Xenopus tropicalis: one gene and its partner. The protein of the gene in region 2 purifies or fractionates together with the protein of the main gene of each other region. This does not show direct contact. Links are inferred from orthologs where the notes say so. Each region holds a gene or a part of one and is shown on either strand. Other genes may lie near its edges. The genes, in order: sdf2 and dnajb11.

Region 1 (17,330 bases), on a different chromosome or scaffold from region 2:
CCCCCTCATGGGATGTGCAGTTTACAGCTTATATTCAACCACAATTTCCCTGTCATCAGTACCCAACAACACCTCACATACAGCTGCACCTAACCAATAGCAAGAAATCCGTTTAATAAGGGCTGGTGCTGACCTGAATTACTGTCAGCTAGATCTCACTGCACAGATTTAGTGGCACTATAACCCAGTAACAGAAGTTGAAGTCTGAAGTCCTGAGTGTGGATTTATAGTCAGTCACATGAGAGTGGCAGTATGAATGTAAAGGAACAGATTTGTGAAGCCATATCCCAATAGGTCCAAATACAAGACTGTACAACTTGTGGTGGTGGTGGGGGGCCAGTAGGTATAGGGGGGCCTAGTGGGACACTGACCAATAAGAAGTTTTAATGAATATTTATAAAAAGCATATTCCCAAATCTTAGTGGGGACTAACTGTATTTTGCTAAGGGGACCCAGTAACTAAGTTCCATCACTCTCTACCATTCAGCATCACAAATACAGCTCCCAACACTTATGTGCCACCACAAACGCTGCTGAACTGCAACTCTCTCCCTTGCTTGACAGTCAGCTGAGGTGCAGCAAACACCTAAAGAGCCACAGGGTGCAACAGCAGTTCAAAGCACTTGTGGGAATAAGGTGCCACGTCTGACAGTTCCACCTGCCATCCAGGCCAGAAAATGCGGCTCTCTCACCTTCCCAGGAGCAGGGCTCCCACAGCCAGCAGCACCAACACCGCAAGCACTGCAACAATCACCGGCATGGCGTCCACCCAGGAACCAGGGGTACCGACACCCGGCACACCGGCTCCTGTCAGTTTCACGGAGCTTCAGGAAACCATAGAGAGACCACCCCCTCCGAGTTGGAAGGAGGAGTTGAAACCCAGAGTGAGTACAGGAAGCGAGTGACTGGGGAGAAAACACAGGGAGGACCAGCAGCGTCACGTGACCCGCAGAACTTGGAGAGTTGGGGGCGGGCACTGTGTTATCCCGGAACAGCCGCACCGCTAATAGCCTTACAACTGGAAAAGGAAGCGCGCCACCTGCTGGTAGAACAATAAGAACTACAAGGTTCATCGTATCGTTCTGATGCAGATATCGTGTATTACTGTTGCGTCGGTGTATGTCTACTTGGTTTCATCCTCACCGTCATTATTTTATTGTAGAACTACGTGTCGTGACAGCCTTTAGATGAAGTGACCTTGTCGGAGTCTCTTAATAAAGCCAAATATGCAACCTATTAGTCTTGCCGGAATGAAATGCGCATTTCTGGAAAGCTACAGTATTTGCAATAGCTGTTTTTTTTATATACTAACAATTTTTATTGATTTTTATTGGCATACATATGGCAGATGGCTTGGCGCAGATTTTTGCATTAATGGTGCTGTTGATCAGTAGTACTGAAGAAGAGAAAAAAAGTAACCATTGTAAACATATAACATAAATATAACTCTTGGTATTGTTGAAAGAGAAATGACTGATCTATAAGTTCTGTAGTTCTTAATATATGTGAGGGGGTTAGGTGATTTAGGCATGAAGGGCCAGAAAAACTGGGGATCATTTTCATGGGCTGGCAAAAGGAAACACATTTTATTTTAAGCTTTCATGTCATTTTAACATATAGGAAAGTTTTTCGTTGAAGACTATGCTTATTATTTTAGTTTAGCGGGAGCCTGTTTTTTTTCCAGTTGCTAGCTATGATTAGTCTCACTGCCATTAATATATGTTGGCTCAGTCTGTGAGCACAGTTAGTATACTCTCAAGGTAGTTGTAGTACTCGGGGGTCTTTGGGAAACTAGGTATGGAAAATCTTTGAGAGAAGGCAAAATTCTAAAACAACCTTGCAATCCCACCATATATGTAACATAGTTCCAGTTTCTACACAGCCTCTGAAACATTGTGGACTGCAAGTAAAGTTATTTAGTCTGGCTGGAACTAAATATGTTCTATGGAGGATTTTAATAGATGTTTCCCTGATTGTTACACAGCTGCTTCCTTTATTTTCTGCACTAGCATAGGCGGAGGGTGACTTTTTTGTTTGGGGAGGCTAAATATGGGCCGTACACAGTCCGACCTACAGCTAATGTGAGACTTAGTGGATTCGCTGCTGGTGTAAAAAATTAACTTCCCAACTACCTCTTGCGGTTCCCACTGACTCCCAGGGATACTGCGCAAAAGTGCGGGTGGGGGTGCTTTTAACCCTAAAATGCTTAGGATGTAAAAGTATTCATATGTGCTCTTCTGTTGGGGGTTCTCTATACATTTGTGTTTGTGATCAGTTAGCTTCAAGGGGTAGTTCACCTTTAAATTAACTTTAACATGATCTAGACATTGATATTCTGAGACAATTTGTAGTTGGTCAGCTTTTATTTTTAATAGTTTTTCGGTTATTTAGCTTATTGTTCAGCAGCTCTCCATTTGGTATTTCAGCAGCTATCTGGTTGCTAGGGTCTTATTTACCAGGTAGTGGTTTAAACAAGAGATGGGAATATGAATAGTTAAGGGGCCTGCATGGAAAAATAAAACTGTAGCTTCACAGAGCAATACTTTTTGGTCAGTGACCCTCATTTGAAAGCTGGAAAGAGGCAGAAGCGAAAGGCAAATTATTCAAAAACTATAAAAAATTAACTAGGAAGACCAATTGCAAAGTTGCTAGGAATAGGCCATTCTATAACATACTACAAATAAACTTAAAAGTGAACCTCCCCTTTAGATGTGTTTAAGTTAGCTTTACAGAGAGAGAGGCAGCAGGTACTGACATCCCAGGCACGTTATATACAGCGAGATGCAGTCTTTATATACAAAACCAACACATATATAATGAGAAGCAGTGGGTACTGAGGGCAGATATTCAGGCCCTGGCACTATAACACTGGCACTGATACACAGCATTGGCCCCACTGTAACTAACTAGGAATGAAAAAAACAATGACAAAAGTAAAAGAAAAATAGAAAGTGCAAAAAACCATAACAAACATATAAAAGCACAATGAGCTTTGTCAGGGGGAAAGTTAACTTACCCTCCATCTGTTAGGGTAGGGGATAGGGATATTATAGATGTCAGGTGACTAAAAACAATTTAATTTCAGCTAGTGGGTCAGTCTTTAGAACATATACAGTATAGTTACTTGTGTATAGTACCTGTGGGATGAAAACTGCAGCAAAGTTCACAGGCTCCAGTTAGCAAAATCTCCCGATCCCTGTCTGCATCTGTGCCTTGATTGGTCAATTTTACTGCCTGTCAAGAAAGCTATGCTCTGATTGGATCTTTCTTCTTGTGGATTCTCTAATCAGAGCACAGCTTTCTTGACAGGCAGTAAAATTGACCAATCAAGGCGCAGGTGCAGACAGGGATCGGGAGATTTTGCACAGCTGATTTCTGCAGAACCCCAAGAAGATTTGCAGGGCAATGCAGAAACGGAGCCAGGTTTTAAGGTGCCAAATCAGGTTTGGGGAGGCTTAGCCTCCCCAAGCCTTATTGAAAATCCGCCTATGTGCACTAGCTATTTTTAAACATGTTTTTATTTATTTCAACATATTTGTTAACCACACTTACCATTCTACCATCCTTTCTTTTTTCTGGCTCCTGTTTCCCGAAGGCACTATTTCCACACTAGGCTGTTCTCTTTGCCCTGTCTTCAGCACAGGCATTATCTTCCCCTTTGCCCTGCCTTTTGTCTCCTTCCCCTCTCCACATGGCCCAATTTAACCACCCTTTCCTCAAGTCCCAGTTTCTCCATATCTCTGCTTAACTTTGTTCTTTCTTGTTCCATATTCAACTTCTTTTCTCTAACACACATAAGACATTTCTTCTTTCCCCCCCATTTTTCCTGTAACATTTCTCTCTTCCTTTCTCCTACACCTAGGTTTCAAATGGAAGGTATGCAGGCTCTGTTTGTGTCCCCCTTTTCCTTCATCCCTCCTATGTTGTTTAAATTTCTCATTTGATAATTTCTCTATTCCCACCTCTGCTTTTTCACCCAAGCTTTCCTCCATATACACACAGCCAGTCCATCCTGTTACTCAATGTTATATGTACCTTAGAACAGACTACATTAAAAGTGTTATGCCCTGTACCTCCAAGCAACAGCACTGGTATGTTCTCTTCCCATAGCTGCTTTTGTTGTCCGCTGCACACTGAGGAAAATGCTTTGGCACTAAATTGACCAAGTGGGTAAAAAAGTCTAAACAAAACATTCTAGATGAGCTATTGGACACAGGGGCAAGTGACAGCTTTAAGATAGATGGACCATGGTGAAAAGTATTTCATGTCAACTAGGCAGAGGGTGGAACTAGCTGATCAGAGCTGTCCAATCTTCTGATGATGCAAAGTCAGTGCACAAGATTTGGTGGATGAGGCCACTGACTGTGGCTTCTGTATCAGCCCAAAGTAACCACAGCCCTTTAGCAGGGAAAATGTGTGCCCCTGATGATGCCCCCAGTAGCTCCCGATCTTTGCTGCTGATGCTCTGTGTTGCTCTCACTTACCTAAACTTAGGGCTCTGGTACACGGGGAGATTAGTCGCCCGCGGCAAAACTCCCTGCTCGCGGGCGACTAATCTCCCCGAGTTGCCTTCCCCCTGCCATCCCACCGGCGAACATGTAAGTCGCCGGCGGGATGGCAGACGCGGCGGGGCGATTTCGGGGAAATCGCCGAAAAAGCCTCGCAAGTCTTTTTCAGCGATTTGCGCGAAATCGCCCCGCCGCGTCTCCCATTCCCGCCGGCGACTTACATGTTCGCCGGTGGGATGGCAGGGGGAAGGCAACTCGGGGAGATTAGTCACCCGCGAGCAGGGAGTTTTGCCGCAGGCGACTAATCTCCCCGTGTACCAGAGCCCTTAGGGACTGACTCACAATATAGTGTATATCTACAATATAAAAGACCAGATACAAGACTGATTACAAATTAGTTCAGATTCTCATCACATGGCAGTGCATAAATCTGTGCAAATAGCACCAGAATTTAATAAACGGCCTGTAGCATCAGCTTACATGACAGGCAGACATCACTTTCTGTTTGATAATTTATGATAACCCCTAAGCTTAGCTTCTCAGCAGCCGCCTACTGACACTTCTAACAGTATTCAAGATGGTGAGTTTCTTAAGGGTAAGAACCCACAAGGCGGTTGAGTCCCCCGTGATAGATCTCTGCTATCTTATGTGATGAACCACTCCGAAATGGCTTTCCACCAGCAACAATAGGAGTTGCCAGTGAAAAGCCCTTTGCATTGCTTCGTTTTCTGAATTCACGCAAAGTTGCCTGTAGGAGGAAACTTTGTGCAACTTTGGATTACCAAAGTGTTAAGGCCCCCATACACGGGCCGATAATAGCTGCCGATATAGGTCCATTGAACCGACTCGGCAGCTTATCTGCCCGTGTAGGGGCAGAAACGAGCGGGCTGGCCGACCGATATCTGGCCTGAAATTGGCCAGATATAGATCAGCTGGGTTAAAAGATTCAGTCGGATCGGGGGCCGCATCGGCTCGTTGATGTGGTCCCCGAACTGACTGCCCCATTGCCGCCTACATAATCCGGTCGTTTGGCCCCAGGGCCAAACGATTGGATTATTTTTTTTTTTTAACTTCAAGCTCCCCGATATCGCCCAACCGTATGCTGGGATATCGGGGGAAGATCCGCTCGCTTGCCGATAGCAGAGATCTATCTCGGGAACAACTCAACCGCTCTGTGGGTTCTTAGCCTTAAAGCTTTCAAAACACAGGGATTAAATACTTATGCACATTTTTCCATGAGTTGTTTTTCCAACATAAAACATTGTCAATGTAAAAAAAAAAAAAAAAAAGCGTTGACATAAAAATACTAGAGTATTTGGTTATGAATGCAGATTTTGTTATTTAGAAAAATGACAGAACCTGGGTAATCATGTCATTGTCATACCTGCAGCTGGCTGAAACCCCTAACTAATGGTTACTATGCCCAGGTGTAACTTTGCTTTTTGATAAATGAGCCTTTGTACTATGAACAAAGAGTACTGCTTCCCATTCATTAAATATATGACAAGTGGGAAAATGCACATTTGGATATTAATATTTTCATTAGACAAATACAAAGGTAAAATAAACACTTAAAGTTAAAGGTGACCTTTAAAGGAGAATGCAAGTCAAAATGTAAAAAGCATAGTGCCCAATAGTCCTCCTATTGTTTAGTAAAAACGCCACATTTTTGGCTCACCTAATCAAATACTTACTCAGTCACACTTACTTCACATTTTCTAGAACAGGCAGCCATCTCTAAAAAGGTATTCTCCCTTCATTTCCTTCCTTGCTTCATACTGCACAAGTGTTTCATGCCCACCCCCCTCCCCTCTGCTAGATCTGCTTCTGATTGGCTGGTGGGTATGTGTAGCGCAGAACAGAAGACAGCCTACAGGAAGGGAAGAGAGATTTCAGTGATGTCACTGTAGTCTTCACACTGCTGTAGGCTGCCAGCACCATATCTCAGAGAAGCAAGCAGGGATCTGGGCATTTAGATATGCAGTAGGTACTTAAAAAGAATGCATTTAGATTTACATTTAATTTATATTAACCTTTCATTGTCCTTTAAGCCCACTAGCCTGTGAGGCAGATAAAAATCAGGCAGATAAAAATCAGGCAGCACCAATTGACAAAGTGGTCCTTCCCCCCCCATGTTTCAGCATAAGAAAACCTTGTAACCAGTTACATGCTTCTTTTAAGTAAAACACAGATTTTTGTTTTAAAAATGTTGTATTCAAATCCAACAGCAGCTGAGATGAAATATTTAAAAATTACTTTGTTCCAGGGACGTGCCCGGTGTTACACCTCAGTTCCTTACTGGACATAAAAACAATAATACCAGCAGAATGGGCAACAATACAAACCATGCCCTTGAATCCACATTTAAAATATTTCTGAGCTGAACTTTTTAAGTGACCATTCAGGATCTGAGGAAAATCCTGATTGATCCCAACACTGTATGGTTAAGGAAAGGGAGTCAGAGTCTCTATAGGTGACATCATAATTCAGTATGAATGTTCTGTGTCCGGGACTGCTCACTGGGCTTCATGAAGATACCCTCCATGACTTTCCAATAGCTGTTTTGGTTAGCGTATGACATGCCGTGAACTTCCCTCTGGCCGTTAATGGGCCTCCCATACTGTTCCCCTGTGACAGAGAGGAAAACACTGGTAGATGTGTGTCTAAATCGAACTTCATCATCTCTTTGCCAGAATTCACCACCACATAGAACAGTCCAGTCATCCAGTATGTCACCTTCCCCATCATCCCCAAATGCACTGACTTCCTGCAAAAAAAATAAAAAAACAAAATAAAAACAAACTCTTAAAATATACAGCCCAAAAAGCAAGATCACATGCTTAAATGAGATGTAATGCTTGCACATATAATCTACTAACAAAACTATACTTAAAACAACATGAAATGGTGATGTGCTATTTATCTGTTAGTCACAGTGACTTGCCTGGTTTCCAGACAGAGGAGAAGTAAAGTGATGACTGTGCAGATTGCGCCCTGTGTTGACATGTGTTAGACGCACAGACTGTCCACATTTAATTAGTTTTCCTCTCTCACACACGGTGGAGGTTTGTCCACGGATACGCCAGTAACTGTTGCCATCGTCTACAGATGTGACTCCTGTCACAGATTGCTGTCCGCTGCCTAGATGTACAACTTATTAGTTAGGGGTCTCACAACAAATACATGCACAGTAGCATTTGTGTCTCCAAGGTGTAGGTATCAATCCTAAAATAAATATCACAGTGAAAATATATACCCATACTCTGATTTACACATCCAGAATGCTCCTGGGGTTTTCTGGATAAGGGATCATTACATAATTTGGATATCCATACCTTAAGTCTAATAAAAAATAATTTAAACATTAAATAAACCCAGGGATAGGAGTATTTTGCCTTCAATAAAGATTATTTCTTAGTTAGGACAAGATACTGTACTATTTTATTTTTACAGAGAAAAAGGGAAATTTTAATTATTTGATTAAAATTGAGTCTAAGGGAGTGGAGCTTTCTGCATTATGGGTTTGCGGATAAATCATTCAATACCTGTAATATAGTTCTAATGTCTTGGTGTAGAGGAAGAAGAATAGCTTAGCATATTGAATGCCTTTCATTTACCCCAGCCCTAGAGAAGAAATCAAAATAGGCCCTGGCATTTTAAGTACACAGAGGCTAAAGGTGGCCATACACGTAACAATTACGGTCTTTCCTGCGACCATTGGTTGCAGGAAAGATCGTTCATACCCTCCACTGACATTCAGGGCTAAATCGTCAGATATGGAGGTAAAACCAATAGGAATTCTACCCCTATCTGGCAATTCATCAATAAACGCAGCTTTTGCTTGGGCACCTTTAACAGCACCTGATCAAAATCTTTTGTCCAGCCCAATTGACAAGACGACTAATATCTAAGGCATTATTGGTCAAAATCGGTCGCCTTGTCAATCCACCATGCACGAACTTAATATCGGTGAGTGTATGGCCAACTTTATTTAGATGTATTTAGATATATGTTTTATGTTATTATTTTATTAACATGGGCAAGGCTTCATAAAGCCTTCATCATGAAAAAGTAACTGAGCAACTACAAATGTGATAGCCAAGTTTTATTTATAACCAGTGGCTTAAAGTACACACTGGAGGAGCTACGCACAGAGCAAGACTGCTGATTGTTACTGTACATCTGCACAGCTGAAAATGAAACTGTTATGCAAAAATATCTACAAAATGCTTATGGAAACTTTCATTTTCCTGAGAAAAATGAAAGTAATTAGGAAGGAAATTACATTTATTTGGGGAACTAAGTGTCACAAAAGGCTAAAAATATGAATCTGAACGTACATCCTACTAACTAAATCTAAAAAGCAAGAATATTAATCTTATTATAGTTTCTCTTCTGCTTTTTATACCTAAAACACCAAATAAAAGATGAACTAATGGGGCTGCTGTAAAGGCAATTTTGATTCAAATAAAGCTAATACAAAATTTGTTATAACGTATTGCGCTCCTGAAATTATTTCATAATAGGTGAATACATGAATTTCAAACCCCCGCAAAGACTATGGCTCAGGGCCACAACCACTCATAACCATTTATCATAAATTCCACCCTGAGGCTTCATCATCGTCATTCAGTGACTTATGGACAACCGGAAACGCAACCTTTCTGTTCCGGAAGTACTAACTCGAGAATCTAAATGAATGAAATAATATAGAAACAGGTGGGAGCGGTGACTGCCATATTTCATAATGGAAATACCAGTGCTTCCCAGTGTGGTCGACCCCTCCCCCGGGAGGCTTGGAGCACTGTCAGGAAAGCTCAGTCTGAAGCCTATTTGGGGTGAGGTTGTAGGACAATTTATATTTCCTCTTTTAGATACACCTTAAAAGAGAACTAAAGAATTAGGCCAGAGATGCTGTACATTATGTTTTGAGTTTCGGGCCTGATGCTGCCCCCTGCTCCTTACTAATGCATTATAAGGCATATGTACTGTCTATGTAAATTATAAGGCTATAAATACTCACAAAGGAGCAGTGGTGTGAATGTCAGCACCCGCCCGCCCCGCTTACCCACAGGGTAGATGGCCGAAACAGGAAGTGATTGGGGGCAGAACAGGGCCACTAGGGGCAGACTTCACAGGTCCTCAGCAGCCCTTCTGTCTCACTGCCCCCCCTCCCAAGACTGCAGGGTCAGTTATGTAAGTACTGAACTGTATTTCTCTTGTATTAAAAGGCATATATACCACATATATCAAGTATAAGAATATTAATAGTTACCAAGGAGTTCTGTGCCCATGTAAAGGCACAAGGCTGCAGCCTGTTTATTAAAGGTCAGGGAAACTTGAGTAATAGTTATGCAGGTTAAAGGACTTCAGTCCTGCACTTACCCATACCAAACCTGCTGATGATTTATACACCTGCACCCAAAACTGGTAATCCCTGATGTAGGAGTAGTAAGAGGCAGGATGGACATACACATTTTGGCAGTCACAAAAGTGGGTTTGGGAGAGAGCAGGCAAGGATGAAGGGGCTGGGCTATTCATGTATTTCAAAGTTTTTTCTTTTTAAAAAGGGTCTGCAACACATTAACAATAATGCGCCAAGTAGTCAAAGAAACAAAATGGGGGAAAGGTATTTTTTACCATATACAAAATAGTTACTAACAATAAAAGCTTGAAAGACCACCCCCAAACCCTTTCTCTTTACATTCGCTGCTTGCAATGTGACCAGCTCAGCTGTGACAGTGCAAATGCCATATATCAGATATGAAGCAAGGGTAGGAGAAGGGGTCCTATTCTCCCTACGGACAATGCCTAACTGAATATATGTGTGCATTTAAATACACATTTGCTATACTGTACATATAACTGACAGCGACTGCGCGATTACAGTCTCTCCCTCCCCCAGGCACACACTATATTTCAATTCCATTGATTAAACAGAGAGGGCTATGTCGCTTTAAGCCAAGCATTAACACCCTGCTCACGGGAACCTGCCAGCGCCTAATGCCATGGAGGGCACTTTACCTCTCCAGAGGGAACTGGGTGCGCTGATGACGTGCCACTTGCGCTGGGGGATGTGCCCTCATCTTACCTGAACCATATCTAACGTCGTGCGAATGGAGACGGACGCTGTGCTTGATATTGAGCAGCTTGACCACTGAGCCGCAGGTCACCACGGACAGCTCAGAGGCAATGCTCACCGGCAGCAGCAAGGGAGTGATAAACAGCAGGAGAGAGCCGGCTCCATCCTGAGGCTTCGTCATCTTCATTCACCGGCTGGTGGACAACCGGAAACGCAACCTTCCTGTTCCGGAAGTACTAACTCGCAATGAATGAAATAATCTGGAAATAGGTGGGAGCGGGGACTTCCCAAACAGTGGGGTTGCTGTGTTCCCCTGGAGGCTAGGAGCCCTGTCAGGAAAGCTCAGTCTGAGGCCTATTTAGGGTGAGATTGTAGGACAATTTACATTTTCATCTTAAAGGAGAACTAAAGCTTAGAGAAGAATTAGGCCAGAAATGTTGTACATTATGTTTTGAGCTTCTCTACCAGCAGCAACATTTCTAGGGCTGCCACCTTCTCCCAATTTGCAAAATTGGGCAGGACTCACTGAGATTCAAGCAGTGGTCAGCTAATCGCTGAGTCATTTCACTGCCCTGCCTCTTCCCCACCACCATGATGTCACAGCCCTGCCTCTTCCCCACCACCATGATGTCACAGCCCTGCCTCTTCCCCACCACCATGATGTCACAGCCCTGCCTCTTCCCCACCACCATGATGTCACAGCCCTGCCTCTTCACCACCACCATGATGTCACAGCCCTGCCTCTTCCCCACCACCATGATGTCACAGCCCTGCCTCTTCCCCACCACCATGGTGTCACAGCCCTGCCTCTTCCCCACCACCATGGTGTCACAGCCCTGCCTCTTCCCCACCACCATGATGTCACAGCCCTGCCTCTTCCCCACCACCATGATGTCACAGCCCTGCCTCTTTCCCACACCGTGATGTCACAGCCCTGCCTCTTTCCCACACCGTGATGTCACTGCCCTGCCTCTTCCCCACCACCATGATGCCACAGCCCTGCCTCTTCCCCACCACCATGATGTCACAGCCCTGCCTCTTCACCACCACCATGATGTTACAGCCCTGCCTCTTCACCACCACCATGATGTCACAGCCCTGCCTCTTCCCCACCACCATGATGTCACAGCCCTGCCTCTTCCCCACCACCATGATGTCACAGCCCTGCCTCTTCCCCACCACCATGATGTCACAGCCCTGCCTCTTTCCCACACCGTGATGTCACTGCTCGCCCCCTGCCCAGCAAAAATGTTGGCAGAGGTTGCAACCCTAAATGAGCCTAATGCTGCCCCCCCCCCCACACCTGCTCTGCACGTACCTCTCTAGTGTCAGAGCAGGTCCAGGGGCTGCATCACTAGTGCAGAGAATGCTGTTGCACTAGCAATGCCAAATTTCTGTTTTAAAAACCAGAGGCGGCTTTTTGTCGTCCTTAGTAACTGGCTTCTCACTGCTGCCTAAGGCAAGGTTCTTACGATGCCTCATGGCAGTAGTGGACCTGTTTACCAGCCCTAGACAACCCCAGCCCTTTAGTAGGGAAGTGCTGTGCCCCTAAAGATGCCCCCAGTAGCTCCCCATCTTCGTTTCTGCTGATTCATTGCATATGCTCTGTGCTGCTTTCGGTTACTGAGCTTAGGGACTGACTAAAAATATACTGTAAATATAGAATACAAATGTCACAATAGAAGGCTGTTTATACAGATTACAGATGGCAGCTCTAAAACCAAAGCATATGCACCCAAACTTAATAATCAGGCCTTGCCACACCCTTTATAACAGACAAACCTCATTTTCTGCTTAAAATTTTGCGGTGACCCCTAAGCTTAACTTTTCAAAAGCTGCTCAGAACATGCTGAGCATGTGAGTGTTGCAGACGCTTCTAACAGATTCCAGTATGGTGACCACAAGTGACAACTTTGATGTACTGGATCATTACTACTTCTATAGAGATGCTAAACTTTGGGCTGGTTCAATTTATAAAATTTGGCATTTCTAGACATATTAATTTTTAGGGTTTAGTTCTCCTTTAAGGCCTAGCTGGGATGTCAGGTTGAACAGTTATTTGCTAGCCTAAGTATTCTTAAAATTATATCTGCCTGATCCATACACAAATGTTTCCCTATGTGTGTAACTGTTACGAGGGCCTTAAAACAAAAAAAGTCACAAGGACTGTGACTTAAGGTGGCCATACACACTAAGACCTTGCCAAGTGATCGGATCTTCTCCCGATATCCCCACCTATGGGTGGGCGATATTGGGCTAATTTAGTCGTTTGGCCCTGGGGCCAAACAATCTTATTAAAACAGCAGGAATAGGCGCCCATCGGTTCGGGGACTGCATCAACGAAACAGTCCCTGATCCGACGAAGAATCAAACATGTTCGATAGAAATCTGCCTGATTTCAGGCCATATGTCGGTTGGGCAGGCCTGTCGGTAGTGCCCATACACGGGCCGATAAGCTGGTGAATCGGTCTAAGGGACGATATCAACAGCTAGAATCGGTCTGTGTATGGCCACCTTTAGAAATGATAAATACATTTAAAATCAAACTAATTTATATGTGAAATTATAATATCATTGTATCAATATCAGGGATAACAATCTTGTCCAGTTTTGCTCTACTAATTTGTTTTTTAAATATTTGGGAAAGGGTTTCAAATTCAATACAGAAAAATTGGAAAGGGAAACAATATGCTGATCAAATATGTACAGCTCAATTACTTTATATCTAGGTGTATATTCTGAGGGAGAGATTCTGGAGGTCTTAGATTATCCATCCTCTTGTCTCAGCATACTTTTAGTAAGTCCTTTCAAAAGGTCACCATACTTGAGTGTAGAGTTATTTGTTTGTCTACCAGTATGCATGTGCTATTGTATTTTTACGAGATCAGACCCACTAGTTAAGCTGTTGCTTGACCTGAAACCCCCAGAAGCAATGTCAAATATAGGGCTGATTTTTACAGGTATAATTGCTAAATTGGTCCAATGCAGTTACACATGTCTTTGAACAATCTCCTATAAATTGGAAAATGAAAACAAAAATGAATGGCTGCTACTGGCAACGGCACTTTTGCAGGTTATCACCTGTGCCCATCAATCATTCAAAGCAGTACATTTTTGAGTCCTAAAGAAAATATACTGCTCAACACTTATCATCAGCTGATTGAGAAGAGAATTTTTTTTACTACTGGCAACATACTTTTCACTGGATGAACCACAATTAACTGTAGTTACCAAATTATGTTTTCTTCCCTGGGTGTAATTTAATTGAATTTTCGCATGTGTTAATAAGATTCTAGATGAAGTTAAACCAATCCATTTATGGGTGGTATATCACAAAATCTACAGTGTATGCTCTGAACTATATCAGATGTTACCTAAATTCCTAATTCTTCCTCAATCCAGTCTTCTGTATTCTATGGATTATTGATATTATTTATTAGCTTCTGATTTAAGGCTTTACATTTTCCTAATAAATTATCACTTTAATAATTGCTTAAAAATGCACTCAACTTGCTGTTACTTGTAAAAAAAAAGGCTTTGTTAAACATCTAGATTTGCTGACAGTAAAAGAACTACTGGAATTGTCTCCAGCAAATGTAGTAAGTATTGGCAACAGTTTCCCCCCAAAAAAGGAATTATGCATCATAAGGAAATAGAGAGCAGCACAATATGTATGTGTTTTGTCTTCCCTCTCACTTCATTTCAGTTTTTTTTCTAGCCACTGAGCACAATGTTCCATCCAGACTTGAACTAAGGACAGAATAAAGTTGCATTAAATACATGCAAAAACACATACTGTAAATGAGACACCAGGTTTTCCGAATATGAACCATAACCTAATATCACTGCCAAAAATGTTCTCCTACACCTGTAGCAAATTTACACAAGACTGTGATCTTTTATGAACAGACTATGCAATAATATATGTACTATAATATACTGTATATACATCATGCAAAAGCAAGGGACTTAAGGTTCCATCGTATGTTACATGATATATAATATGATATCTTACAGATGTTTATCTGATTATGGGAGGCCATCCAACAAATGCTCCCACATAATTCAACCCCTACTGCTGGGAAAAGTTTCTGACAAATGGTTTAGTGAATGAAGTAATGCGATTGGCCATGGAAAGAAGGGCACTGACTGGCTCAAACCTGAACGCCAAAACAAACGAGAGAAAGTACAGGCTGTTCTGTACGCTAGGTGTTGCGTAATAATGATTATCATGGTCCTACCGAGGAATGCTGGGAGATGTAGTCTTGTATCAGCAGGTGCGCCGTCGTTGTTCTCAGAACTATACTGAAGGCCTGAAACGCATTGGGGGATAACCAAAAGAAGCCAAACACGAATAGATATCTAGTATGGATAAAAGAACCGTGGAACAAAGCAGTAAGGAATTCGATTTCTGTTAGCCAACAACTTTACTGCGCTTATAGTCGGCGCATGCGCAATTGAAGAGCGGAGTGTTGGTGTGCCTAGTGCGGTGGTAGCGGCTGCCGGAAGTGACCTCACGCCTGCCTGCTCTGCGTTCTATCCGCCAGGTTCTGCGCTAGAGTTGTTCCTCCATTTTTGGACAAGTTCTTCAGAAAGGAGTGCAGTTTTAGAAGGAGACAGCTCGGCAGCGCTTTAGCCTTACATCGGGAGAGGGATAGTTATCAGCAAAGCAGGTAAGGCTTTCCCGGCATCTTGTGCTAGAGCGCTGCCTCAGCCACCTTGTCCGTGGGGGCCCGCACCGTAGCCCCACTGGAGAGGCATCTGGGGTGTTTGCGTGGGCAGAAGTGGCGTGGATGTACTGGAGTCCGATTATATGGGCTCGTTTTCGTTGTGCAATAAAGCCCGTAAACACTTTGCTAAGTATGGCCCTCTTGGGGGAAATACGGCAAAAAGCGAAAATCAGGCCCAGGTTTAAAGGGCCACGAAAGGGAAGTCTGAAGATAAACCTGAGAAAGGATACAGTTATTATGTAGCTTATTTTCACTATATAGTAGCCATCCTGCACCTCCCAAGCTGCTTCAGTAATTATAAGGCAGGGGCATATTTATCAGCACTTTATAGAGATGGTACATCATTTATTCAGTTCCCATCAGTCACAGTGGAACTTAAGATCTATTTCTTATCATATTCACTATGATCAGTTTTATCATGAGCCAGTCAACCTACCTGTATGTTTCCGAGAGAAAACCCACACAAACCTAAGAGGTTACAAATTATTTGCAGATAATGTAGTGCCCTGACTGGGATAGAACCTAGGGCCCCAATTTTGCAAGACAGCAATGTTAACCACTGCAACATATTTTAAACTGCAACTTCCAGCACACCCCAGATTTGTCTTTGGCCCCACAACAGTTGGGGAGTTGCAGAATGGGCATCCCTGATATATGTGAATCCTCTTAGGCTATAGCTTTAGCTCCGGTTTGGATTAATAGGGCTATAAGGTTACCAGTTTCAGTGGCAAGGTTTTAAAGGGCTGAGGCTGGCCTGAACCATTGTTATATCTACTTAGAAATGTCCATCTTGTACAATAAAGACATTTTGATTTGAAAAGATTTTTTGGTGTTCATTCAGATTTTTTTTTCATTGAAACAAGCTATCATTCACATTCTTAATATTATGAAATAATTATCCAACACCAAGGAAATGGCAGAAACATAAGAGATACAAATATCTATCTACAAAGACCTCTTTTACCCTACATCTATAGCTGGGTGTTGTGCAAAATGAGATGCTTCATCGGATTATGATTACACAGGGGCCTTATTGGGAGGCCTAAGTTAAGTTATATTGGCATCTGATGTAAATTCCTTGTAGTGTTGTAAAACTCACTTGTCTGTCATTTGTTCTATATTGCCTTAAATCAGGGGTCCTCAAACTTTATAAACAGGGGGCCAGGGTCAAAGTACTGCCCGCTCCTGCGTCCTCCCTCTCCTAGCTCCCCTGCTCTGTCCTCTCTCTCCCAGCACCCCTGCTGCGTACTCCAGCTCCCCGCTGCCAGGGGTGAGGATCCAGGGGTGAGGATGCAGCTGGGGCCATGTAAATTATCTTGGGGGGCATAACATAGATTTGCCTTGTATGGGACAGTGGCACTTGTGCTTTTATTGTGTGTGTCAGGACACTGTGTATAATTTTTTACAATTTATAAGAGCAATACAGCTCAATAACATCTTGTTTTCTATGAACCAGTGTAAAGTCTATATTGCATTTAATGAAAAACCAATATCTGCTTTCCATTTGACTGTGCTAACATGGTGATTGGGCTTTATGTACTTATTAAAGATGCAGAATTCTGCAACTTTTCTTGGCTTACATTTGATATTCTAACTTGATGCCACTAGACCAGCATTTCTTAACCCTTTTCACGAGTACCGAATTAAATTTGTGGCACAAATAATATTTCACAATCAGGTATGCATTTTGAGACCTACCCTAAACAGTGGAGTCCTGACTCATAGGTTAAGAATACCTGCAATAGACCCGTCTGATTAATTTAAATCCCACACAAAATGCCATGCAGAGCCCATAGCCAAGATATCTGAAGGGTGAATTTCCTCAGCTCAGACTGGTGACACTGCTTACATCTATGCCTGTTGGTTCTTTGTCCCATCCCCAAGTCCACGGTTGCTTCCAGGGCTGAGGAGGGGGTATGCGTCTGTAAATCAAACAAATTCCTCTTCCTTATTTCTTAGGTTTGACGATAAGTGTCTTTCAGAAATCCAAAAATGTACTTAACATAAGGG
Region 2 (16,814 bases):
TTGGAGGTCACGCAGGATGGCTCTCTTCCTCTCGTGGACCCCTAAGGGCCCCAGCGGTGGGTTGTCATATCATGAGCGTAGGAGAACTGTGACAATATAGCGCCTCTCCCCTGGTAGCAGATCAGAAACCCCAGGCATGATACTCCTCTCAGTGTGACTGCAGACTCAATGACACAAAATGGCCCCAAGTCGCACATGTCACGAGATTACAAAATTGCTACAAAATGTCCGCCAGTCGCGAGATTACAAAGTCGCGACAAAGAAATCGCCAAAATATACATAGTAATGTATTTTGTGCGACTAAATATTTATATCTATATAAATATTTATATCTATAGTACTGTATATTAGTAGCGAAATTCCATACATGCCAAGACTTTAGTCAAATTGAGTAAAAAGACACATACTTGAATAAATAACACTGTAAGTCCATATTTTATTGCCAAAAACTCATTTACTGTACTTTCTATAATTTTTCCCCTGCCTGTAGTAGGTGTTAATTTTCGCATAGACCAATGCGATATTTAGCGTGCCTAAGTGTTTGTGAATCATGCGATCGTATTCTTTTCAGCGCAAAAATTAACGCATGCATTAAAAGTAGCGAGGAAAATACCGCATGCGAAAATGGCGACTTAACGCACGCGATAATACTATGGTGAATCGCACGCTAATTATCACGACTTATTTAACGCAAAAAAACGTGCAATATATTTTATCGCACTTTAGTGAATCAGGCCCATAGTGTCCTAACAAAAATCCATTCCATTAAAAATCCTGTAGAAAAAAGGGATACATTTTGTAGCTCATTCTCAACAATATTTACCAATACTCAAACATATTCTTGTAACCAATTACTTGACACACAAAGATACAATTACTTGGCGCAAAACACAAAGATAACAAACAAATATTTAATTTCAGTAAAGCACATTTTAACTCCTTAAGGGCTGTCCTTCAGAGCCCAGATTGGGGAATTATGTTTTCTGCTACAAACAGAACAGAAATTGCTGTCATTCAAAATGATATTAAAGGGGACCTGTCACCTAAAGAAATAATATATATAATAAATAAACTTTACGTACGTTTAGGAGAAAAGAAATAATTTAAAAACTAGAAGTCAGAGGGGACAGAAGTAGCATTTAATGAATATAAACGCTATGACAAATGTTGTAAACAGAGATCCAGAAGGGAGAGATAGAGAAAGAGGAGCGCATTGGGGCAGAGGCTAAGACTAACCCCAAAGAAATGTTTAAAGTATATTAATAGTAAAAAGATGCAGGTTATGGGAGTATGGCCTGACAACCACAATACTATTAGTTTGTGCCACAATACTATTAGTTTGTGCCAGCATGGTTTTATGCACAATACTATTAGTTTGTGCCAGCATGGTTTTATGCGTAACAGATCTTGCCAGACTAATTTAGTTGCCTTTTATGAGGAGGTGAGTAGGAACCTTGATGCTGGAATGGCAGTTGATGTCATCTACTTGGACTTTGCTAAAGCGTTTGATACAGTACCTCACAGAAGGTTAATGATCAAATTAAGGAATATTGGCCTAGAACATAATATTTGTAATTGGATAGAGAACTGGCTGAAGGATAGAGTACAAAGAGTGGTGGTAAATGGAACATTTTCTAATTGGACCAGTGTGGTTAGTGGAGTACCGCAGGGGTCAGTCCTTGGGCCTTTGCTGTTTAACTTGTTTATTAATGACCTGGAGGTGGGCATAGACAGTATTGTTTCTATTTTTGCTGATGACACTAAATTGTGCAAAACTGTAAGTTCCATGCAGGATGCTGCCGCTTTGCAGAGCGATTTGACAAAATTAGAAAACTGGGCAGCAAACTGGAAAATGAGGTTCAATGTTGATAAGTGCAAAGTTATGCACTTTGGTAGAAATAATATAAACGCAAACTATCTACTGAATGGTAGTGTGTTGGGGGTATCCTTAATGGAGAAGGATCTAGGGGTTTTTGTTGATAACAAGTTGTCTAATTCCAGGCAGTGTCATTCTGTGGCTACTAAAGCAAATAAAGTGCTGTCTTGTATAAAAAAGGGCATTGACTCAAGGGATGAGAACATAATTTTGCCCCTTTATAGGTCCCTGGTAAGGCCTCACCTTGAGTATGCAGTGCAGTTTTGGGCTCCAGTCCTTAAGAAGGATATTAATGAGCTGGAGAGAGTGCAGAGACGTGCAACTAAACTGGTTAAGGGGATGGAAGATTTAAACTATGAGGTGAGACTGTCGAGGTTGGGGTTGTTTTCTCTGGAAAAGAGGCGCTTGCGAGGGGACATGATTACTCTGTACAAGTACATTAGAGGGGATTATAGGCAGTTGGGGGATGTTCTTTTTTCCCATAAAAACAATCAACGCACCAGAGGTCACCCCTTTAGATTAGAGGAAAGGAGTTTCCATTTGAAGCAGCGTAGGTGGTTTTTCACGGTGAGGGCAGTGAGGTTATGGAATGCCCTTCCTAGTGATGTGGTAATGGCAGATTCTGTTAATGCCTTTAAGAGGGGCCTGGATGAGTTCTTGATCAATCAGAATATCCAAGGCTATTGTGATACTAATATCTACAGTTAGTACTAGTGGTTGTATTTATAGTTTATGTATGTGAGTGTATAGATTGGTAGGTGTGGGTTAGGTGTGCTGGGTTTACTTGGATGGGTTGAACTTGATGGACACAGGTCTTTTTTCAACCCTATGTAACTATGTAACTATGTAACCAATGTGAGCACATGCAACCATTAGAGCTCCGCCACAAAACCCTGTCAAAATCATGGTTAGGCAGACACTCTCATGAAGAGCATTGAAAAACCTTTGGACTAAAGGATCTAGAGCCCAACTGTTAGTGCTGTCACAGCTGATGCCTGGACCTTAAGTGTACTAAGACGAAGACCCTTCCCATTGACCTATCTTGCTTCAGTTCTTACCTTAAGTTCGATCCCCCGGAGCACCATGGAAAGAACATGGTACCACAACAAACCTGCCAAGAAAGGGCTGCCCACCAAAACTCACAGACCGGGCAAGGAGACCAAAGGTAACCCTTAAGGAGTTGCAGAGTTCCACAGCAGAGACTGGATTATCTGTCTATAGGACCACAATAAGCCATACACTCCATAGAGCTGGGGTTTATGGAAGAGTGGCCAGAAAAAAGCCATTACTTAATGTTAAAAATAAGAAGGCACGTTTTGAGTTTGCCAAAAGGCAGGTGGGCGACTCCCCAAATGTATGGAGGAAGGTGCTCTGGTCAGATGAGACTAAAATTTTACTTTTCGGCCACCAAGTACGATACTATGTCTGGCGCACACCATCACCACAGTAAAACATGTAGGTGGCAGCATCATGCTGTTGGGATGTTTTTCAGCAGCAGGGACTGGGAAACTGGTCCGAGTCGAGGGAAAGGTGGATGGTGCTAAATACAGGGATATTCTTGAGCAAAACCTGTCAGTCTGCCTGTGATTTGAGACTGGGACGGAGGTTCACCTTCCAAGCAGGACAATGACCCAAAGCATGCTGCTAAAGTAACACTCGAGTGGTTTAAGGGGAAACATTTAAATGTGTTGGAATGGCCTAGTCAAAGTCCAGACTAGAATGTTGCTGTTCTCAAGTGAAAACCATCCAACATGAAGGAGCTGGAGCAGTTTTGTCTTGAGGAATGGGCAAAAATCCTAGTGGCAAGATGTGGTAAGCTCATAGAGACTTATCCAAAGCAACTTGCAGCTGTAATTGCCACAAAAGGTGGATCTACAAAGTACTAACTTTAGGGGGGGGGTGAACAGTTATACACGCTGAAATTTTCTGTTATTTTGTCCTATTTGTTGTTTGCTTTACAATAAAAAAAAAAAATCAGGTTTTTTAAAAGTTCCTGGCACAGTGTTGTACTGTACTAGTCCAGCCGAAGCAGTTGTTGGTCTATGTATGGAAGTTGCAAGAAGCCCTTCTGTATGGTGGACTCAATCATCTTCTCTATGGAATCTTTGAATGCTACATCATCTTTTGGTAAGGTGTTCTTAGACAGGCAAGCAATCATAGCATCTACCCTTGGGGATATATTTATCATGCTGTGCAAAAAGTGTAATGAAGCATTACCGGTGATGTTGCCCAGGGCAACCAATCAGCAATTACATTTCAACAGTTAAAAATCAAAGCAAAGCATCTGATTGGTTGCTATGAGCAACATCACCGGTAATGTTTTACTCCACTTTTTACACCGTATGATAAATATAACCCTTGGTGTCTTGTCTGGGATTGGGTACATGTTACAGAACTTTTCTGTTAGGACTATTACCCAGTCAGGTTTGGCTATTTACTATCAAATAGTTGAGAAATGGATTTAAGGACAGGGATGGTTTCCCCAAGACTCCATGAACTTTAAATATCGCTGTTCATCCTTGATCTCTAATGTAGTTAGCATGTCTTTTAATAATTTCTTGGTCGTGTCTTGCCAAGTTATAGTAAACTGTTGTCTGTGGAAGAGTCCCCCTGATACAGAACCTACTGCAAAACTACTCTCAAAGAATTTGGAGTCAGTTTCAAACTGCTGCAGTAATTGATTCTTTTAAGTAGGCGCCCAGCATGTTTTATTGTGGTTTGAATGGCTGACCTAATCCAATCCAGAAAGTTTGTATATCAATATTGGTTTGAGAGGTTGTGAGACTTTTGGCAACTCCCTGCATTAAGAACCTGGTACCCTGCTTTAAAGGAGAAGGAAAGGTAAAAACTAAGTAAGCTTTACCAGAGAGGTCTATGTAAATACAAGCCATAAGCACTCACAGAAACGATGCACTGTGCCAGAGACACGCAGCTCTCTGCCCTCTCCTGCTCCCCCCCTCCCTCAAGAATGCTAAGAACTCACTCCCCCTTAGGAATGTGGATCTGAGCCAATCAGCAGGAAGCAGACTTATAGGGGCACATTTACTAATCCACGAATCTGAATCCCGAATGGGAAAAAAATCGGATTGGAAACGAAAATTTTGCGACTTTTTCGTTGCCACGGTTTTTTTCGTATTCTGCGCAATTTTTTCGTCGCCGTCACGACTTGATCGTATTTTGCGCAACTTTTTCGTCGCCATCGTGATTTTTTCGTATTCAGCAATTGTAAATGGCGGAAAAACCAATCCGATTTTTCCGCGACGGTGACAAAAAAGTTGCGACAATTCGCGAACAAGTCGTGATGGTGACAAAAAAATAGCGATCATTACGGAAAAACGCATTCGGACGCTTTTCAGATGTTCGTGGATTAGTAAATGTGCCCCATAGTCTTACAAACTGAGCATGTACACTTGGTCTCGGTGCAAGAGGCATTATGGGAACTTTCTTTACATAGCTCAGAGTTTTTTCTTCCTGTTTGGCTACTGATCATCTGAACAGGTAAAATATAGGGAGACTTAAGGGCACTATTGAGACAACTGAAGGTATGCCTGCAGCTTGAGATTAACTCTTTATTAGCCTTTCCTTCTCATTAAAATAAACAGGACACATCTGCAAACAGTACATTTCAGTGGCCTAGCTGTCCAGTCTTCTCAGTGATGGTTTTCCTGTAAGGGCCTTCTTAGGGTTTAGGAAGCTGTTTCAGGCACATCTTGCATGATGTCATGTGCGCTATGAAGAGTGCTGCGTTGAAAGTGCCACCAGCCATCGGCTTGAATTGACGTCACTAGAAGTTACAGGAAATGCTACCACTTACTGAATAGCATTGTGTGGTACCGTAGCCCTGGAAATTCCGGCATTACTTGTCATGTACAATGTACTGCTCAGTTATATCCCTGCAGGATAACAAGCTGTGCAAAAAGTTGCACTCTGCTTGTACAATGAAAGTTTCCAGTTTTATTGTCATATACAAATAACAATGAAGCATCATTACTATAATGAAATTATTTTGACCCGTGTTCCTCCCAACTTTACATAGACAAAAAAAAATAAAAAAATACAAATATTAAATATAATAAAAGTGTGCAATAAAGGTACAAGTATTTACAATAAAAAAATGCAATGAAATATTTGAAATTGTGCAGTGAGGATTTAAAGTGGCTTTGCTTAAAGTGACACTGCAAAGAGTCCAGTAGTTATGGGGAGTGTGTGTTAGGCAGAAAGGTATATCTGGATCTGCCCCAAAGAAGCATGGCCTTAACATTCGGATTGGTTGCCTAATAAAAAGCATAACAAAATCTGCCTCACATCCAATTTACTAGTTAGAGCTGCATTACTGCAATAAACGAAAAAAGGCTTCCAAGCACTCCAAACCTTCCAAATTAAAACAGCATCTTTATTAGTCCATTAAAATGTGAACGCCTAAGTGAGCTGCATTACTGAAACCAGTTGGGTGATTCATTGCAGTAGGGCTGCACCCTCTGATTCTCAGTAACCTAACTAATATTAAACATGTTACAGCCTCATGTGAGTTCTGCTTGCTAGATTGTTTCAAATAAGGAGGGAAATAAATTGTTCAGACAATCAGCATAACCTCCCAAGATCTAAAATTACATTTTCTATGAAAGGTAGTATCTGTCCTCTACCTTCTAGACAGGACAAAAGAGAAAACTGAACTCAGTAGGCAGAGTACAACCTTATACAGAAGGAGGACTCCTCTTTGATTCTTCCGTCTTGACTCCAAAGGTCAAGGAATACTAACATCTGAAGGGCCACTCAAAAAAAAAAAATTAAAAACAGGCAATTTAAAAAGATATATTAAAAATGTATTAGTTATTTATTAATATTGTCCCCAATATCCCCCAGTCTAACTTGGGCTATCAAGTAGACAAATTCGGTGAAATTAAAAACAAAAAAAAAAGACAAAATATAATGTGGTCATTTTTGAAAGAGTGACTGCAATTTGAAAGAGGTGGCCTCTAGACAAAGGCTTCAAAATGGTAAATGGCTCTATCCTCTGCATTGTTTTGTTTCTGTTCTGAAGCTAAATGATCAATAGTCAGTTACTAGCTGAATAGTCGAGCTCTGTAAACAGTAGCTTGAATATTAGTCAAGGGCAATCTGCCCAAATAAAATTCCTAATAGCCATTTAAAACTATGCAATTCCGTAATCTTTTGGAAGCTATGCAAGAACTCCTAGTAAAATTATTACTCCTACAAAAGCACACACATTTTTGGAAATTCTTATACATACTTATATCATTTTAGCATTATAGGCTAAAATATGTTTAGTATACTGTAAGAATAAATTAATATGAAATTCATTACTAGAGTCTAAATTTTCCAGTGTAAATAAAAAGAAAATACAAAACAGACTGTAATGTGCATTTATGATAAATCCCACATTTGTTTATTCAAAAATCACTAGCAAAGGCAGAAAATAAAGAAAAAAAAAATACCTTGTCGTTGCTCCATCGTTAGCTGTTCTTTTGGGAATTCAACATCAAATGTTATAATTAAAGAACCTTTTATGTTGTTATTGTCAAAGTTTGGCAAACCTTCCCCTTTTTTCCACAATTTTGCTCCTGGCTTAGTAATTTTATCCCGCAATATGTGAACCTGTAAATAAAATAAAAGGCTTAATTTTTTTTTAAAATATAGTTTTTTCCTATAACAAAGATAGGAATAACTTCTGTGTTGCACTAAACCTTCTTAGTGTGCTAGTGCAATAATTTTCTGGTTTATATTTCCATTATATTATTGCTGGCATAAGACTGATATTACACTAGGAAATAGATGGTCATTCTTGAGGTAAAAAAGTACAAAGTGTCAAAGTCTTTTTGTACTGAAAAAGTGTTACACTTGATTTCATAATTTATTTTTATTTAACCTTTTCATTGCCAGCTAATTTATGGACATTTGCAATTAATGGCAACTAATTTTGTGCCTTTAAACTTAGCTTAAACTTAGTAGCGTTTCCTGGGACTTTACTAAGGAAGATACCTGAAATTTTGTGAAATTCAACTTAGTATTTTGCACAATTCCACTTATATATTTAAAAATTAAAAATGACAATTTAAAATATACATAAAATAAATATAAATATATCAGAAACACTTTATTATATGAATGAAAATATAACAAGTGCTCTCTCAAGCAAGCCAATATCAAATATGTTATGAATATTCAAACCAACAAAATTTGATAAAGTTAGCTGTTTCGAATTCTATTTTTTAAAGTTTGACACCAGTTATATGTATTACAAGTTTATACAAAAAATTTAATTGTAGGTGTTATATATGTCCATTTATAATTAGCATAATTTATTTGCATAATTTATTACCATTTTTAAAAAAAATAGTGTTCAAATGTATAATGGCTAATGCCTCTGATGAAGCAAAGGGGCCTAACAGAGGAGAGAAGAGTGAGATATGCGTGTGTTCCCTTAACTTGTGTAAGTAAAACGGATTGCATTTGGGGTAGGTGGGAGCTATCGGTGCTTTGCTATAAGTGGTTTCTATTTAGGTGCAACAAAGCTAACTTATATCTAAGAAGATTGTGTAAGGAGATATGCATATGTTAACACAGAACGCTCTAAGAATAAATTAGCATGGGGTAGCCGCTTCCTCCTACTTCATGATTATGAGCATAATCTTTACTTGCATCAGAGAAGAGGAAAAAGCTGTGTATCAGAGTGCATCCACATTTAAAACTTGGTTGAATTAGAATTCCTCTAGTAATGAAATTCTATGATTCCCAAATAATTACATTTAATGTTATCATGTGATACCGTTTCATTTTTATAGCCACTTTCAATATATACGTTACTATGTACATGTTGCAGTCTCCCCAGTTCAACTATAATCACGCAATGACAAGAGTCATAAATATCAAACACCAAAGACAAAGAGCAGATTAGCAATTTTAGAAATATGAAGTATTATGCAAAGAGTAAAGAAAAATGTTATGGTAATCTAAACAGTAAATACATGGCAATCCTCATTTGGTAGGTGGATTTATTTGGTTGCCAGCGGGGAGCCAAACAAATGGCTACTACATCTGAAGGCATTCTAGCTAGGAAAGAAGATATATAGACATAAACTTGACCACAACAAATTAAAACAAGGAATAAATGCATACAGAATAATTAAAAAAATTAAATACAGAGGGCATGCAAGATAATACTCACTGTAAATCTTACCGTGATGTTCCTTTCCTGGCCAACTCCATATCAAAACTTACTGGGTATAGCCTGCCTAACTACTCCAATCAGAATGACCCTCTCCAAAGCTTTAAAAGCCCACCCCCACCCCCAATACAGTGTCTAGTATCAAGCTTCTCTATAAAAAGGGATAGGAATCTGGTGACATGGAGTTAATAAAGAAAATCATGGTAAAGTACAGAGCCGTCAAACCTTAGGCACCTGAGTTTCGGGAGACCTTGCATCCCGCCAAAAATTCTAGAAACTTTTAAAGAAACCTGGAGAGTTGACAGCTCCATAAGTATGATACAAGTGTAACGTAACTAAGTGCTGCTTGACTGTTGCATTTGAGCAAGTGTAGAAAGCATATACATAGAATGCTCACTACCTTCAATCCAGAATTGGATGCTGCCTTTAGGCTGAGGCTGCACTCATTGTCATTGTGGTCTCACATTCTCCCACACCCAACGGACCATGTGGTAGGGCAGTTGGAATTCTTCTCTCCTCCAATTGTCGGTTCACACCTATCCCTATTCCTCCAGCTTTTTCATTTAACTCTTTTGAGGTGAATGCCTTTCAAATCGTCCATCCTCTCTATACAGGAGGCTGTAATTTACAGACCTCCATCAGCCTCCTCCTCTGCTACCTTCCTCTCTGACTTTGAAACCTTGCTATCTTTTTTCCTCTTTACTGACAGCCCTGCAATCATCCAGAAGTGGACAAACACTCCAACTCATAAGGATGGCCACTTTCCAGATTTAATCTTTACCAAAAATCTGTACCTTTCTGATTTTAACAGTATCCCCTCTTCCCCCTCTCTGCCCATCATCTGGTTACATTTTCAGTCTCAAACTTTCAGGTCCAGTCTCTCCTCTCCAAATTCCTACTCTCCAGTACAAGGTCTGCGGAACATATGTGGAGGAAATCCTGTACACAAGCCGACTTTATCCATTATAAACTCCTATTGTCATGCCTCAACTCTGCCTTCTCAAAGGCTAAACGGGAGTACTACAATACCCTTATAAAAAATAATAAATCCAACCAGTGACGCCTGTTTTTCTATATTCAATACTCTTCTGCTTCCCAACTTTATGCACTCTTCCCAGGACTTTGCCGTTTTCGTTAAAAACTAAGTAGAGTCCATCCTCAATCAGATTTCCACCTCTACTAACACAAACCAGCACCTCCTTCATCAATCCCCTTCTGTATGTTCGTCCTGTCTTGTTTCTACTGCCTGCCTCCAAAATCATTCACACTGGCTGAACAGAGCAATGTCAGACAACAACAATTTACAAAGGGTCTATGAAGATTTTCATTCATCCAGGTCATGGTATATCTAGTATAAATAAATTTGAAGCAACTGGACTTGTTTAGTAATCATTGAAGACGTTTCACTACTCATCCGAGCAGCTTCTTCAGTTCAACTGACTGGTATGGGAAGTCCTCAGCATATATACTCTTCCACTAATCCAATCACAATGGCACTATGTAACTCTTCAGAAAGGTGACATCTGAAACTCACAGAGGTGTGAATGCTGTGGAGTTACTTTGAAAGGATTACCAAAGTATCATGCAACTCTTCAAACAGGTGTTACTTGTTAGAGTTGCATGAATGGATGTGTGAAGAGTTCTGAAACTTGTATATGGAGGAAGTGGAAAGGAAGGCCCTACATTCAATGGAACTACACCAAGTCACTGGTTCAGGTATGTAGATGACACGTGGGTTAAAATCAGATCCAACGAAGTGGCGGCCTTTTCAGAACACATTAACTCAGTGGACAACAATATCAAGTTCACAAGGGAGGATGTCCATGAGAACAAACTTGCTTTTTTGGACTGTTTGATATCCATTCAAGAGGGGGGTATCTTGAAAACAGAAGTATACAGGAAACCCACTCACACGGATCAATATCTGTTGTTCGATTCCCACCATCCGCTGGAACACAAACTGGGTGTCATTAGAACTCTACACCACAGGGCGGAAAGTGTAACAACTGATACAGAGTCCAAGGACAAGGAATGTAAACATCTCAGAGGAGCACTGAAAGCTTGTGGCTACCCAGACTGGGCCTTTGTCAAAACAAGAGCAACTAAGCCCAACAGGAACACCAAAAGGAATAACCGTCCTGAGGCAGAGAGAAGGCGCAATATAGTCATCTCATATGTAGCAGGAGTGTCGGAGAAACTCAGGAGAATTTTCAACAAACACCACATCCCTGTGTTTTTCAAACCTAGCAACACACTGAGACAAAAACTTGTACACCCAAAGGATCCAACACCAAAGGAAAAACAAAGCAATGTTGTATACGCAGTCCAGTGTAGCGAGGAGTGCACAGACCTTTACATTGGTGAGACAAAGCAACTGCTCTCTAAGCGAATGGCTCAGCATAGGAGGGCGAACACTACAGGCCAGGACTCTGCTGTCTTTCTACACCTAAAAGACAAGGGACACTCCTTTGAAAATAGCAATGTCCAAATTTTGGACAAAGAAGACCGCTGGTTTGAAAGAGGTGTAAAAGAGGCCATTCATGTCAAAGTGGAGAAACCATCCCTTAACAGAGGCGGGGGACTTCGACACCATCTGTCTGCTACATACAATGCTGTTCTAACATCTGTACCCCGGCAGTTTCAGAACTCTTCACACATCCATTCATGCAACTCTAACAAGTAACACCTGTTTGAAGAGTTGCATGATACTTTGGTAATCCTTTCAAAGTAACTCCACAGCATTCACACCTCTGTGAGTTTCAGATGTCACCTTTCTGAAGAGTTACATAGTGCCATTGTGATTGGATTAGTGGAAGAGTATATATGCTGAGGACTTCCCATACCAGTCAGTTGAACTGAAGAAGCTGCTCGGATGAGTAGTGAAACGTCTTCAATGATTACTAAACAAGTCCAGTTGCTTCAAATTTATTTATACTAGATAATTTACAAAGGGCACTCCCATTATGCAAATTTAGCAAAGGGCGCAAAAGACTAAGAGTAAAACTAACTAGCCCTCTGGCCAGAGGGACCACAAGGGGCCAATCGATCTACAGGTCCTGGCTGCAATGCAGGATCAGGCAATCTTTCCACACTCCACATTATTCACAGAGCAGTGGTGTTCTGAACAAATAAATCTCTGAGAAAACAGGGAAATCATGGGTAGATTGCTTCCCAATTGCCCTGTTCTCTGTACGCACTACTCCCATAGGCCTTCACAAACGATCACCTTATGAAATATTGTTCGGGTCAAATCTAAAAACAGGATTGTAATTTTCCCTAACAGCTAGAAGCTCTACATTCATATATGACTGGTTATGTAGCTGCTGTACAAACACAACTGAATAAAAAACACAAATATGTTTTTGATTCTATTTCAGATCCGAACAACATTACTGGATCTCATGATCTCAAACCAGGTGACTGGGTAGTGGTTAAAAGACAAGTCAGAAAAAGCTTGGACCCCAAATTTGAAGGTCCACTACAAGTACAAATGGTAACACCTACTTCAGTAAAACTGAACAGCAAAGACACTTGGATAATCACTGTAAAAAGGCAAACATACCTGATAATCATGGTTAACCTTCTACTGGTACTAATCCTAGGTTTGGTAGATTTCACTATGAGTAAAATACACTTTTATAACAAACCAAAACTTTACATTACAAAAGAGAATAATTAAACTAATTATTGTTTTAAATCAGACCAAAAGACTCTTGACAACTACCAATGGTGGCTTTTCCTATATCTATTTTCCTAAATACTGACAATATAACATATCACAATGGAAAAAAGAGAAAGCTTGGAGACTTCTGGAAGCAAAAGTAATCACAAACCAATTTTGATTACTGTTAACAGAACCAACAGTTGGGATCAACTGTATTTAGGGAGAATTCAGAAATATTTGGATAAAAAATAGAAACTAATGAAGCCTTAGAAAGGAAACGTAATACATGGAAACTAACGATCAGCCTTAGTATAGTCTTACAAGCACAACAACAAGTAAGTCAATACATATATTATCCTACAGGGGAAGGTATTAATAATTTATCTAAACTTGAATGTTGGAATTTATTCAAAAAAGAGATGGCAATGATTGGTGCAGAAATTTAAAACGGTGTCCAAATTGATATTTAATGATGGTTTAATAACTTTAAAATCTCCACACTACTTTGTGTGTGGTAAATGGGCCTATGCTTGGTTACCTGAAAATAGCTATGGTTCTTGCACTATTGCATCTCTAGTTTCAGCCATAGCAATTATGGATGAAGGTGATGTAACTAAGAAATTACTATTGCCACATCATAATTTGTCATAATTGAGGAACCTACCCATCTGCTACTGCCATTTTCGGAAGCTACAAGACTACAACCCACCTGCTAATGGTACTCCCTAAGGTAGTCTCTTCCTTTAACCCCCGTTGTCTGTCCATATTCCATTCACATATCCTCCTCTATGTACATACTCCAGCTCTTTCACGTTTTATAACTAATTGCAATATCTTTGTCCCCCGGTTACTGTCCATACGTGGAGACCCACACATATGTGGAATTCTCCTCTCCTCCTGTGTCAGTTCACGGCTATTCCTAATTCTCCAGCTTTATCTTTTAACGCTTTTGAGGTGCATGCCCTTCAAATCTTCCATCTCCTCTTTGCACGGTTGGCTGTCATTTACAGGGCCCCATCAGCCTCCTCCTCTGCTACCTTCCTTTCTGACTTTGAAACCTGGCTCTCTTGTTCCTCTGTACTGATGGCCCTGTAATCATCCTTGAGGATTTAAACTCCCACATTGATCCCTCGCAACCCTGGCCCTCACGTTTTCTCCACCTAACCTCCTCCTCTGCACTCCAGCAGTGGACAAACACTCCAACTCATAAGTATGATAGTCACATTCTGGATTTAGTCTTTACCAAAGATCTGTCCCTTTCTGATTTTAACAGTGTTCCCTTCCCCTTCTCTGACCATCACCTGGTTACATTTTCTATCTCTCACCCTCCTTCCCAACTTGCTCTCTAACTCGAATTCGAAATACCTCCCAGCCTTAGCTCATTCTTTCAGGTCAAGTCTTTCCTCCTTTAATGAGATGTCTGACCCGGATACCCTGGTTAGCGAGTACAACTGCATACTAGCCTACATCACTGATTAATTGATCTTCAGGTTGCCAAAGACGAAGCTGACTTTTCTATACTATCCTCCTCGATCTATCGGCTGCATTTGATACGGTCGACTACTCCCTCCTGATGCAAATTCTGCATTCGATTGGTATCCATAATCAGGTTGCATCCTGGATCTCTTCTTACCTCTCTAACCGATCCTTCGCTGTCTCATATACAAACAAACTCTCATCTCCAGTTTCAATTAATGTGGGGTTACCGCAAGGCTCTGTACTTGGGCCGTTGTTGTTCTCCCTCTACACACTGTCTTTGGGAGATCTTATCGGTTCATTTGGCTTTAAATATCATCTGTATGCTGAGGATATCCAAATTTATTTTTCGACCCCTTCATTAACAGATGAAACGGAGACTCAAATCTCTAACTGCGTGCCTCCTAGCTATCTCCAATTGGATGAACCAACACCACCTCAAACTGAACCTAACAAAAACTGAACTAATGATCTTTCCGCCTATGCCTGGTCCTATTTCCCCTTTACTATCTCTATCGATGGCACACTCATCAACCCTGTTGATTCGGCACATTGTTTGGGGGTGATCTTTGACTCCTGTCTCTCCTTCTCGGACCATATTAACACCACTGTCAAAACCTGTCACTTTTTCTTAAGCAATATTGCCCAAATCTGTCCCTTTCTTTCTACTGCAATAGCTAGGCTGCTCATGCATGCTCTAATCTTATCCCGACTTGACTAGTGTAACTTGCTACTAACCAGCCTCCCTAACTCCCATCTCTCCCCCTGCTGCCAGAATTCTCCTACTGTCTTCCAGGAGAGTTCAGGCCCTTCCCCTGCTAAAGTCCTTCTTGTGGCTTTCCATAAAACAAAGAATATCTTATAAACTCCTTCTCTAAACCTTTAAAGCTCTCCATTGCTCTGCTCCTCACTACATTTCTTCTCTTGTGTCTCCATATGTTCCTGGCTGACTTCTCGGTTCCTCACAGAGCAACCGCTACTACTACTGCTGTTTCCCACATTAAATCATTCTGTCTTGCTGCGCCTTACATTTGCAATGCCCTCCCCGATTTCCTCTGGAGAGAATCCTCCCTTAGTCTTTTTAAAACTAAACTTAAAGACTACCTCTTGGAGCACTCGCACAGCACCTGATCTGGGAACAAGCACTTATATTGCACTTATATTGCAGGGTCACCCACTGTATTTATCTGTTACCTTAACACCATGTTTGTATTAATCTATTCTACTGTACATCGCTGCTTACATAAATAGCGCATGCACGGGCCAAACAAGATGGTTGCACCTTGAGTTGGCTCTGCACTGCCCTAGCACTTAATAGCTTCCGGTCGCTAAATATCCCCTCAGCTTGGTCGATCCCACTCACCCACGGCTCCGTTATCTTTCGGTGACAGCATATGGCCTCCCAGAGATCCCGTCGGAACATAAACGGACTAAGGTAGCCTCAACTCCACTCACAGGCAACCATCTGGTAACTGCGTACCTTAATAGGCCTGAAGCCTCTGTGTCTCCTCCAGGCTCCCCACAGATGGCCTTGCAAGGTAGCTTATTTGATGACCCATTGGGAAGTTCACCTTTATAGGGAGAACAGTCTGGATCTTCGGATGAGGTACTATTAAGCAAATTTAAAATTATGCTGCAACAAGAGCTAGACGCAATAGCAACTAAGATTTCCGCAGATCTCGCCAAACAAGTCGCAGACCTTGGCACACGTATTGCAGATACCGAAGGCAAAATAGATGATGTTATAACAGTCATAGAATCTCATGAACAAGACATTGTTACACTTCAGGCCCAACTTAAAGAGGTCCTTGACAAAATTGAGGACGCAGACAACAGGTCCAGGTGCAATAGTGGGAGAATTCGAGGTCTACCCGAAACCATCATAGATTTACCAGCCACTATACAAAACCTTTTACACGCTCTGGTCCCTGAAATGGACAGGGTATATCGCGCCCTGCGGCCTAGACGGCCCGACGACCTACCCAGGGAGATTATTTTACGGTTGCACTTTCACCAAACCCAGGTCGCAATCCTGATGGCGGCTAGGAAAGCTACCAACCTAGTTTTTCAAGACCATCCTTACCAGATATACGCAGATCTATCTCCCACTACATTACAAAAAAGAAATATCATAGGTCTGATCTGCACGATACTTCAACAGAAAAATATCCAATATCGTTGGCTTTTTCCATTTTGCTTAGCCTTTAACTACAACAGACAGCATACGGTAGCTAACTTGGAGGAAGGCCAAGGCTCTCTGTCCTCGAGACCCCCCATCTCTGACTGCTTCGCAACCCCAGCTGTCTCCATTATGGAACAAAGTCAGATCCAGGGCCTCTAGACTACGATCTTCTCAACTATCCTCTCTACCACCTTGATGGATGCCTTCTCCAGATCACATCGGTCTCGCTTCCATTTGCTCAAGGTTTTTGAGAGATCTCCACATAAACCTGAACGTCGCCGAGACATTCCATGGGAGTGCATCGCCATTATTTACCTATATACCCGGTTTACCTCCCTCCCCCCCTTTTTTTTCCTCTCTTTTTATTTTTCTCCCCCATATGTATATGCACAAGATTTAGCTCGTGAGCCATGTTAGAGCTGGTTAATCA

What was found.
Region 1: the proteins of dnajb11 (region 2) and sdf2 purify together in Homo sapiens (affinity purification with mass spectrometry; 3 studies listed by BioGRID and IntAct, counting the BioPlex papers as one, with this or other methods). This does not show direct contact. The link is inferred for Xenopus tropicalis from reciprocal best matches to the Homo sapiens genes DNAJB11 and SDF2.

The regions. Positions count from the first base shown.
Region 1 is NC_030678.2:34,441,702-34,459,031, reverse strand, and holds sdf2 (stromal cell-derived factor 2 precursor), read right to left. Parts: upstream 10,807-17,330; 5' UTR 10,772-10,806; coding exon 10,600-10,771; intron 7,650-10,599; coding exon 7,453-7,649; intron 7,276-7,452; coding exon 6,988-7,275; 3' UTR 6,701-6,987; downstream 1-6,700. Other genes in the region: protein KIAA0100 homolog, read right to left, coding at 693-760.
Region 2 is NC_030685.2:43,612,478-43,629,291, forward strand, and holds part of dnajb11 (dnaJ homolog subfamily B member 11), read right to left. Parts: intron 7,493-16,814; coding exon 7,333-7,492; intron 1-7,332. UniProt on the Homo sapiens protein: As a co-chaperone for HSPA5 it is required for proper folding, trafficking or degradation of proteins.